Linked DNA regions of Arabidopsis thaliana. The protein of the gene in region 1 interacts with the protein of each later gene in a pairwise test. Each region holds a gene or a part of one and is shown on either strand. Other genes may lie near its edges. The genes, in order: AT2G01175, AAP5 and PIP1C.

Region 1 (3,757 bases):
GGATTGATCGCCGCCCAATCCCATAGTCTTCCTGGCCTGAGAGTCCAAAGCTTTGGTTGTTGAGAGCTCTCTCTCTGATTCAGACAAGATATTTATTTTTCTGTTATATTACTTTTTACATACCCCTCCAAACTGTCTTTTTATTATTATTTATTCTTTAAACTAAATAAATATGTAATTCAAGTAATATAAAAAAACTAATAAGCAACCCCAATGGTTAAGATCCTTAAGGAATCCTTAAGAATTTTCTAATATAAATTTTGACAAATATAAAGCTAAGGACTAGCTTAGGGACTCTCAAAAATATTCATGTCCAATAGTAGGAATTCTTAAGAAAGACAAATTTGAAAAAATATTTTGGTATTTGAGTTTAGATTGCTTGAAAAGAAAGATAGAGAAGACAAACTATACAAAAAATTTGATACATTTTTGATAAACACATTTTGAATAACAAAGATTCATGACAATAAATATGACAAAGTATACAAGATTCATTTGAAAACATATCAAAGACAAAAACTATACAAAAAAACATCATCCTCTTCTTGAAGATACTCAGAACATGGCCTACTCTTTGATACACAAACCTGGTTAATTTGCCACTGATGAGGATGACTGTGTAGAATGTTCAAATCATAAAATAGACAACTTTGTGGTTATGTTACCACGATCCACAAAATCATGTTAGTCTCGAGACTAACAATCAAAGATTTGCTATCCAAAACAAACTAAAAAAGATTTGATGCAATATTGAGAGGAAAAACTGAACCTGGTTTCTCTGATTTGAATTCCATTTTATCAGACTCTCATCCGTGCAACAGAATTTATAACACATTAACTAACTCTTGTTAACCACTCGTAATGCTAAAACATTATATAACCACAATCTTTGAACTCTCCTTCTTCATAACATTAGAGAGACAGAGAAGATTAAAGACTTGACACAAAAGTGTTTCAGAAGAAAGAAACAAACAAACCGAAGCCAAAAATCCTCTAACATGAGACACACAAAACAAATCTAGTGATGTTGTTCAACATTACATAACACATCTAAAAATACACTAATTTCGTAGACCACAAACATAAATCATATATGCTCATTGATTAAGAACAATAAATCATTATCTGAAGCCTTATGCAGAAGCAAGATATTTACCTTCTTTGAAAAAGGGGACCAACAAACCAAACAGCAGATGGATGATCAACGACATAATGAACCAAGTTATCACCGGCTGGTCTAGCAAGGGCTGCACAAGTAGCCAAAGAACCAAGAAACCCAAGTGCCCATAAAGCTTGAAGAGTCCTCTTAACCTCCATAACATATATACGAATTAGAAACAGAGATAGCCCCAAACCACTAGCACCAACAAAGTAAAACAAATCATGGTTCTGCTTGATTAGTTCACTTAATCAATGATGACAATCAAACATTAGCATCATCATTGGTCTCTTGTGTTCCCATACATACAACATCCGCTATAATTTCAGAGACACATCCAATTCAGAAATATAACCTTTGTTCTGATTATGATACATCAATCATCAATCGGAAGAAATCGATTGAACCTTCTCAGGGAGAGACAGCGCACGACTCTATGAGTAATATACAAAAGAAACGATTGAGAAGATTTACCTGGCGACACTGAGAAGAGACGATGAGGGAGGTATGTGACTATACAAGCTTTCGACAACTGCCGATGGTTACATGCGCTGCTGCTCCGATTACCTACCATCACCACTTACGAAACTTGGATTGATTCAATCGAACAAAGACCAGTGAGATCAGAAGCTAAGACCATCCCCATTGGTTAGGTCCTTAACCATGATCCTTAACTTTTTTTTTTTTATTAAAATTTTGCTTTTTGTAAGTTAAGAAACTAATAAGAGTCTTTAACAAATTTCTACTCCAATGGTTAAGAAACAATGGGTCCTTGAGTAAACAAAAATCAAATTTTTGCAAAATAATGTCTTCCAATACAAGCATGAAATTCATAATAACAAAGAGAAGAGATGAAATTTGAATTGCTAGTATCATCATTTGCTCAATAAAACACAATATAACAATACGCTAGCATGACAAAAACACAGTTTTCAGTTCTGTTCCAATATTTTCAGAAACAGAGAACCATTTTAATATCTTGAGTGCACAAAAGAAACGGTTTCCAGTTGTGCTTCAATATTTTCAGAACTGATTTAATACCTGCAGCATAGTTGGCAGCGCATGTGCGTAAGCACAAGTGTCAAACTTTGTTCTACACTAAAATAATAGCTACCCAGAAATTAAAAGAAGAAGAAGAATGAGAGAAACGAAGGGAGAAATAGAGAGAAAGAGAGATTACGCATGTGGAGAGCTCGAGTAATTTAGTGTTGTGGATGATTGAACCAGCTATGGCTATGCTAACAATGGCTTTGCCATCTTCAACCATCAGATTATAAGAGAAAATGTTAACCCAAGAATGATTACGAATTAAGAAATAACTGATTTCAGTTTAGATCACAAACATGTAAATACCGTGTTCACTAGAGCCGTATTAGTCTATTGGACGAGATTATTCGAGCGACCCAAGCCTCTCGGACACCAGAAAAACGTCAATTTCATGAAGAGTGGATTTACAAAAATGTAATGGTACAAGTAGAGTTTTGAATACACATACAGTATGTAGCTACACCATTCACAATCTCACGACGACGGCCAAATCAAAATGAAAAACCAAATAATGAATCAAATAATAAGAGAGGAGGATCATCTGGGAGCGGTGGAAGTGCCAGATTCCATGTTTTCGAGAGATGTTGAATCCATCTGCAGAGACATAGCCCTCAAGGCATCTCCGTTTTGGGAGGAGGTCACAGGGACTCCTCGTTCTTGAGCTGCCTTGAAATAGGCGTAGGGACCCCATCCTTCTTCGTGGTAAGGGTTGGGGTAGAACTGACGGTAGCAGAAGGCGGCTACAAGGGTGCCAATGAGAGCTCCTGCGAAGACATCTTGCCAGTGGTGCCAGTAGTCATCCACACGAGATATCCCCACAAGACAAGCGGCAAGCAGAGGGAAGATCACGAGGCAGAGTTTCGCCACATGTCCTTCATTGTTGAAGGCCTTGATTTTGCCAGAGAGGTAAAGGGAAAGGAATGTAAGCCCCGCAAAGGACCAGGAAGTGTGTCCGCTCGGGAAGCTCTTGTGGCCTTCCTTGACCTCAGCTGCCTTGCCGTGGCATACCACACCTCCCAACGCATCATACAGCTCTTTGCCGTCGGGGAAGCAGCGCCAGTAGAAGTTAGGACGAGGGCGTCCGGTGGCTACCTTGATGGAGTCAGTGATGACACCAGTTATCAAGACGGCGAAGAGCAGCCCGAGGATGCTGTGGTGCAGATCGTACACACATGTCCTCTTCAGGTAGAAGCAGACGAACACTATGATGGGAAGAAGCACAGCGTACACAGGGACAGACCAGATAGGTACGGTGTTGTCCTTGAAAGGGTACTTGAGGTCAGTCATCATGTCTTTTCCCACGTAGCGGTAGAAAGGAGAGATGAGGTTCAAGCCTATCTCGATGGCAATCAAGATGACGAGTATGATCCAATCGTGCTTGTGTTTAGAAGCGACTCTTCCTCCATGGGACTTTATAGTGTGAACACTAAGATCTATCTCCTGCATCCTCCCTCTCTGCGCCTCCTGGTCCTGCCACCAAAAACACAAACAATCATCACAGTCAACTAAACCTTCTTCTAATTGGATCTAAACAAACAAAGAATGGCTCTC
Region 2 (3,757 bases), on another chromosome or scaffold:
TAAAACACTGCATTATTGAGCCAAACATTAATGACTTGTATGGACAATATTGAATAGCAAAATAAAACACGCATCTAACTTTTTTTGGACAAATGTGAACAATTAAAATAAAAAGAGTTTTGTGAAAGCAAAGTTTTAACTTACACCAAACTTATAGCTGATGCAATTGTATATCCAATTGCTGTACCAAATAGATTAACATATTGCACAACTCCACATACTTTCACCTTAATCCCACCTAAAAATGAATCAAGAATGAATTAAGTTTTTGATGATAATAACTATTGGGATATGGAACCGATATGGAGAACCAGAGATCGACAGAGATCAACGGTTGAAATGACAAGGCCAAGATACGGCAAGAAAATATTATTCTAAAAGATAAATGTTAAACTTTCTAAACTTCAATATTAACATTTATCTTCTAGAATAATATCTTTTTGTTATATCTTGGCCTTGTCATCTCAACCGTCGATCTTCGGTTCAATATCCCAATATATGCACCAAAAAGAAACCGAAATGATTTTTTTTTTGTTTACCGAGGTTGGAGTGAATAGCGTCCATGTAAGTGTAGTTTCTTTTGCCGGTAACAGAGTCACCAGATCGGTAACAAGAACAGAGAAGGGTAGATGTGTAAAAAGTAACGAAAGAAAAGAGTAACATAGCCACTGGACCACCAATCCAACCAATCTGAGCAACGGCCCATGCCAATGACAACACTCCTGACCCAATTACTGCTGTTATTATGTGTGCACTTGCTGTCCACACCGTCCCTAAACACCAATCACATTCAAACAGAATTTTAAGACAAGAACTGTAGTAACAATAAAGTCTGTTTTGTTTAACCGTTAATTTTAAGACAACAACTGTAGTAACAATAGTGTTCATACACTTTAGTAACAAAAATCATACTTTTCCATAACATCCACACAAAAAAAGAAGTAGGAATTTGTCACCCCTTAACAAACAAAGCCTATGCATATATTTACTGTAGATGTTTTAAATTGCAAGTTCAACAGACTCCGGGTTTCGGTTTGTATCCCGAAACCCGGAATTAAAAAAATTCCGGGTTTCGGGTTCAAATCCCCGGTTATAGGAAACAGAGACTAATTTTATATTTACTTTGATTCTTGTTTGAACAGATTAGAGAAACATAAAACATAAAATTAGAGAAAAAAAGAGAAATTACCGGTTCGCTTGGGACGACCATCATCATCGAATGAATCCGAGCTATGTTTCGGAAGAACATCCAAATCTTGAACATTCTGAACGACCATCTTCTTCTTTTGGTCGACAATAAGACCAAAATTTACTAAGAAGAATCCAAACTTTACCGACAGGAAAAACGGTTGAAAAAGTTTTACTTGTTTTGTGTTTTCTCGTATAGATCTTGAATTTTTTTAAGACCAGAAGAAGAAGTGAAATCAACGATTATTCAGCGAGAAGAAGAATGATTTTGACCAAATAAAATCAACGGTGACAAGAGACCGATGTTTTCTATGGACCAGAGATTATATAATTGGAAGAGAGTGAAAGTATAGGAATTGACAAAGTAGAGATTAGAAATGCATGATAATATAAATACTGACCAAAGCTTTTGTTGTTTCACTAATTTATAAGCACCGTGGAAGACGGAGACATCCAACTTGTAAGAAGGAAGAAGCAGAGGAAACCGCATGTGCTTTTTTTTTTTTTTTTGTGAGGACTACAAAAATAGTTTATCTTTTTATGAGAAAATGGTTTCATTGTTATACATTAGTGACAACAAGTGCAAAATGTCAAATCTTATAAATTACATATAAGCTAAACAATCAAACTAAATTTTAAGATTTTTACCTTTAAAATATAGATATTTTAATTTTAAATTTTAGAAACAATGATTCATGTCCTTATAATTTAAGAGTATTTGAGTAAATCAAAGTAATTTAAGAAAATATATAATTAGAGATATAGTAGTTTTTATTATTATTGATTATTATGTTATATGTACTTTTGATGTCAAGAGAAAGTTGAAGGAAGATTTAACTTTTGAAATTCGTTATATCATTTGTAAATGAACGATTTGGTGGTATACTTATATTAATATTTTAGAATCATTTATCATAGGCATTACTCAAAAAAAACAAAATATATTTAACATGGGCATGTGTTCAACCATAATTATAAACAAATTGATAAAGTATATATTTTATTAATTTGTTATTTAAATAATTAACGTTTACCATGGACTTCTTTCGTCTATATCTAGTATATTTCTAAAAACTTTCGGTTGGTTTTGAGGAAATGAAAGTGGAAACTATGTATAGTGGTGTTTGCATGTTATGAGTTTGGTCACATTATATACTCTTTTTTGGTTGATAGGTTCTCACAAATTGAAGTTACAAAACAATGTTAAATATTCTCGATTATTTTCCATTTTATTTGTGGAGTTTTTGTATGAACATGCAAAATACACCTCGATTAGATGAAGTTTTTCAACATAACATTGCTAGAATTGCTAGGATTAATCTCAATTCTTAAAAATTCCATAAAAGCTAAACATCAAACCAAATTTTAAGATTTTTACCTTTAAAATATAGATATTTTAATTTTAAAATTTAAAAACAATGATTCATGTCCTTAATTTAATGAGTATTTGAGTAAATTAAAGTAATTATAATTAGAGATATAGTTGTTTTTTCATTATTATTGATTATTATGTTATATGTACTTTTGATGTCAAGAGAAAGTTGACGGAGGATTTAACTTTTCAAATTCCTTATATCATTTGTTTTTTTTTTGTCAACCGGAATTAATTAAACTCAAACGAACCAATTCCGAGGAATTAAAAATAAAGAGATGCTAATAAATTTTTCTTTCTCGCTCTTAAATTCTTTCAAATACACTGGAAACACCGACCATTCGGTTGGAAAATACACTGTCGTTATATCATTTCTAAAGAGTATAAATGAACGATTTGGTGGTATACTTTACTATTTTAGAATCATTTATCATAGGCAATTAGATATTATTTTGAAAAAGAAAATATATTTAAAATTTTGATGGGCAAGTTTTCAACCATAATTACAAACAAATTGATAAAGTAAATATTTTATTAATTTATTATTTAATAGTTATTTAAATAATTAACGTTTACCATGGACTTCTTTGTCTATATCTACTATGTTTCTAAAAACTTTCGGTTGGTTTGAGGAAATGAAAGTGGAAACTATGTAAAGTGGTGTTTGCCTGTTATGAGTTTGGTCATATTATATATACTCTATTTTCGTTGATAAATTCTCACAAATTGAAGTTACATAACAATGTTAAATATTCTCGATTATTTTCAATTTTATTTTTGGAGTTTTTGTATGAACATGCAAAATACACCTCAATTAGATGAAGTTTTTCAACATAACATTGATAGAATGGGTTTCACTTTTTTTAAATGCTTATTGCTGTGCAATGGTTTTCCGAAGTTTTCTGCATATATGAATTACCAAAAAATAGGAAATTTAATATAATCATTGGAACATCTAATCTATTATTTGAGTTGGAAAACATTTTGATTTTTCAGAACGATGTTGTTGGAAAACCAATAATTCATCTGAAAAGTATATTGATAGAAAAAGTTGACAAAAAAAAATATATATAGATGAAAAATAAATCAAAGTATCTGTTTTTCTTAATATATTTTTTAAAATTCATGCTTTGATATAGCTGTATTCAATGTGCAATTATATCTCGTGTTTGACACCAGATTTTGTGTCTGGAGTTA
Region 3 (3,757 bases), on another chromosome or scaffold:
GTTCTTGCTTGGTCTCTTTGTTTTCCATTACGTTTCTCCTGTGAGCGACGACCAGATCTTGAAATTGGTAGAGAGAAGAAAGAAGTAGGATCGATCATAAATGAAGACAGCTGCTGAGAGAAAGATTTTAAGTGTCATTCAATGCAAAGTTGGGCTGCTTTCCCCTTCAATGGCGACGCTCACCAACTACTCTCTTCCTTACAAAAATTCTACTCATTTATTGACTAATCCCAGGTCCCCGACTCTACAGGAAGAAGACGATTATATCGTATTGGGCCTTATTAGAGCCTATTGGGCTCGAGTTGATTTGTCGTAAAGACTTGGTCTGTGGTTTAATCAATCTCTCATGCCTCAAAGTGTTGACTGATTCAGAGGCCGTTTTAGTGTTTTGAGCCCACGTCAGAAGCTTGTCTGTCGTCTGTGTGTATAAAACAAAATTCAATTCACGATTTTTTAAAATATTGATCGTATCTTTTTCCACATGTATGTAAGCAATGAAGGATCTGCTTCGTTGCAAAATATTAGTTTTTCTTTTGATAGGCATGTACCAACTAAGTACCAGCTACGTACACAGACAAAGTCAGTAACAATTAAAATTCATCAACCTAGTCATTGCTTGTTCATCAATCAACCTAATCATTTGTTTGCTTGTTAAATAACAATGCCAACGTTATTATTTCTATTTCTATACTATCATACATTCATACGGTCCACGCCTCTAACAAAAAAAGATATTGATAAAATTTAAAAGATAGATAATTCGATGAAATGAATTATAATGAAATGTGATTTGTACAACTGAGAAAGGATGTCATATACGGACTTTGGTCGGGACCGCCCCAGTAAACACCACCAACACATATTTGCCTCTTCAACCACGTGTCGTGATTCTGTTGGTTGGGCAGCTAGACGACTGTGATGTGTGTGTGTGGGTTGCGTTTCGAAAAATGGCAAACCCCACCACTAGTTCAATAAAAGGTGTTTCTTAATCATATAGTTTAGCTTCGGATTATTTGTTTCCCTTTTCAGTTTTTTAAAAATCGATATCTACAATAGAGTTAATCTGTTTATAAATTCAATTATTGTTCGGGTAAGACAACATCAACAAAACTAATAGGGTTTGAATCCTAAACACTAAACTCCATTTAACTAGTAAAGTATGGCTCATATAGCGTTAAAAATATGTGAATTGATAACAACAACAGAGTTTTGAATTTTATTTTTGTTAGGTTTGAATAGATTGATAGAAAAAGGAAAGTGGGAATAGGGAAACGAACATGTGATCACAGAAAAGCAAAATCCATTTCTGAGCTGGAAACCCCCGCAAAATTGAACCTTATCTCCAATTTTCATTTTCTTTTTTTCTAAAATATATATCGTTTAATTGAAAAACCTCAAATTCACAATCATTGTGATTATTTTGTCACTAGTAGTACACATAGTAATTTAATTAAACATTTTAAAAATACTCTAGGCCCGGCACAATGTTCGAGACTATGTTACTTTACATAAAGCAATCGCTTTCCACACACTTCTTTTCCTTTTCTTCTCCAACGGTCGGAAGTAAATTATTAATTCGTCGACTAGTCAAAAAGTTAGTCCTTTGTGAGTTTTCTGGCACTGTAATATTTTTTTTTACATTTCTAACTGCTGACTGAGTAGTACTCCTGTAGCAAGGCATTTGAGAATAAATTAGGTCAAACATGCTATCTTTATAAGGAGTTTCAGAATATAATACTAATAGTTAGCCAACGCAACAGAATTAGTATAAGCGTGGGTTGTGTTACATGATTAAACATCATCAAGTAGTAGGCTATTACAATTATTAACGTAAATAAATATGCTTTTACGAAGATCATCGTTATCCATGATTCCCTGTATTTCTCATTATTTAAATATATCATAATAGTTTCGAGACGTTAGTTTTTTTTGCTTTTTCTATTCTCTCTCTCTCTCGCCTCTATAAAACCATTCTTTCTCTATCTCAGCCACTCTCATTACCCATTGTAGAAAAGAAGAAAAAAAGCAAAGAACACTTGAACGTTTTCTAGATAGAGATGGAAGGGAAAGAAGAGGATGTTCGAGTGGGAGCTAACAAGTTCCCGGAGAGGCAACCGATAGGTACATCGGCTCAGACGGACAAAGACTACAAGGAGCCACCACCAGCTCCATTTTTCGAGCCAGGCGAGCTGAGTTCGTGGTCCTTCTACAGAGCCGGAATCGCCGAGTTCATAGCCACCTTCCTGTTTCTATACATAACAGTATTGACAGTGATGGGAGTGAAGAGAGCACCAAACATGTGTGCCTCTGTTGGAATCCAAGGCATTGCTTGGGCTTTCGGTGGCATGATCTTTGCCCTTGTCTACTGTACTGCTGGAATCTCTGGTAACCCCATTTTTTTTATCTTCTTAATACAAGTAGAATTGGTCTTTTGTTGCATGCTTCAAACCCTTGTAGCTCTGCTTTTAGTTTTCGATTTTTCTCAAAGAGATCTTAATTTAGAGTTGATTCTGATGAGTGTGTGTGTGTGTGTGTTTCACAGGTGGGCACATAAACCCAGCGGTGACATTTGGTCTGTTCTTGGCTCGTAAGCTGTCATTGACGAGAGCTGTCTTTTACATCGTGATGCAATGTCTCGGAGCCATCTGCGGCGCCGGAGTTGTCAAAGGCTTCCAGCCAAATCCTTACCAAACTCTCGGCGGAGGAGCCAACACAGTCGCTCACGGCTACACTAAGGGCTCTGGTTTGGGTGCTGAGATAATCGGAACCTTCGTCCTTGTCTACACGGTCTTCTCCGCCACTGACGCCAAGAGAAGCGCTCGTGACTCCCACGTTCCGGTATAATTTTGTTTTGATTCCTCTTAATTTATTGTTTTGGGTGTTTAGAAAAAGATTCATAATTTAGGGTTATTTTTTTTGCAGATTTTGGCACCACTCCCAATCGGATTCGCTGTGTTCTTGGTTCACTTGGCGACGATTCCAATCACCGGAACAGGAATTAACCCAGCTAGGAGTCTTGGAGCTGCAATCATCTACAACAAGGACCACGCTTGGGACGACCACGTGAGTACCCCATTACATCATTTGGTTGATTTGTCTTTCTATATGTCTTTGTCACTTTGGTTTGATTGTGGTTTGATTGTGGTTTGCAGTGGATATTCTGGGTCGGACCATTCATTGGAGCAGCTCTTGCGGCTCTTTACCACCAACTTGTCATCAGAGCCATTCCATTCAAGTCCAGATCCTGATTTGATTTCTTTCTTTATAAAACTTCATTGTTGCATCTTGGTTTGTAATTGAGCTTGAAAATATTTGAGAGATCTGGATCATGTGTTTATTTTAATTAATGGACTTGTCTTTTTCTTATTTGCTGTGGATGATCTGGTTTTATCGTTAAATGGAGTTTGATATTATGATTGATTTGGTACGATTTTAATTTTGCTTTTGTCGTTAGACTCGAGAAATTTTCAAGAGGAATTTGTTAATTTGATTTTCTTCTGGTTTGGTTCGGTACAAATTGAGTAAGATCCATATTGTTTCGGCTTGGTTTCTCGGGTCATCGACTCAACTAGTTTACGTGGTATTTAGCCCATATTTACATTGGGCCTCTTGCGCACTCTTTATGGGCCACGTTAACCAAGTGGGTATTAAGCCCATTTACATTGGGCCTTTTTCGCACTCTTTATGGATACAACTAGTATCCCATAATATGTCCATCAACGGCATCACTCCACCTTAATTTGTTGCGATAGATAGC

What was found.
Region 2: the proteins of AT2G01175 (region 1) and AAP5 interact in a protein complementation assay, tested with the Arabidopsis thaliana proteins (one large-scale study listed by BioGRID).
Region 3: the proteins of AT2G01175 (region 1) and PIP1C interact in a protein complementation assay, tested with the Arabidopsis thaliana proteins (one large-scale study listed by BioGRID).

What each region holds. Positions count from the first base shown.
Region 1 is NC_003071.7:104,439-108,195, forward strand, and holds AT2G01175 (uncharacterized protein), read right to left. Parts: upstream 1,854-3,757; 5' UTR 1,634-1,853; intron 1,358-1,633; 5' UTR 1,323-1,357; coding exon 1,134-1,322; 3' UTR 446-1,133; downstream 1-445. Other genes in the region: BAT1 (bidirectional amino acid transporter 1), read right to left, coding at 1-24; PAP1 (phosphatidic acid phosphatase 1), read right to left, coding at 2,744-3,676.
Region 2 is NC_003070.9:16,765,947-16,769,703, forward strand, and holds the start of AAP5 (amino acid permease 5), read right to left. Parts: upstream 1,740-3,757; 5' UTR 1,278-1,739; coding exon 1,190-1,277; intron 774-1,189; coding exon 540-773; intron 493-539; exon of another isoform or gene 313-492; intron 239-312; coding exon 145-238; intron 1-144. UniProt on the Arabidopsis thaliana protein: Amino acid-proton symporter. Stereospecific transporter with a broad specificity for glutamate and both neutral and basic amino acids. Reduced affinities for asparagine and valine.
Region 3 is NC_003070.9:225,477-229,233, reverse strand, and holds PIP1C (plasma membrane intrinsic protein 1C), read left to right. Parts: upstream 1-1,690; 5' UTR 1,691-2,057; coding exon 2,058-2,385; intron 2,386-2,542; coding exon 2,543-2,838; intron 2,839-2,922; coding exon 2,923-3,063; intron 3,064-3,152; coding exon 3,153-3,248; 3' UTR 3,249-3,569; downstream 3,570-3,757. Other genes in the region: AT1G01630 (Sec14p-like phosphatidylinositol transfer family protein), read right to left, coding at 1-28. UniProt on the Arabidopsis thaliana protein: Water channel required to facilitate the transport of water across cell membrane. Its function is impaired by Hg(2+).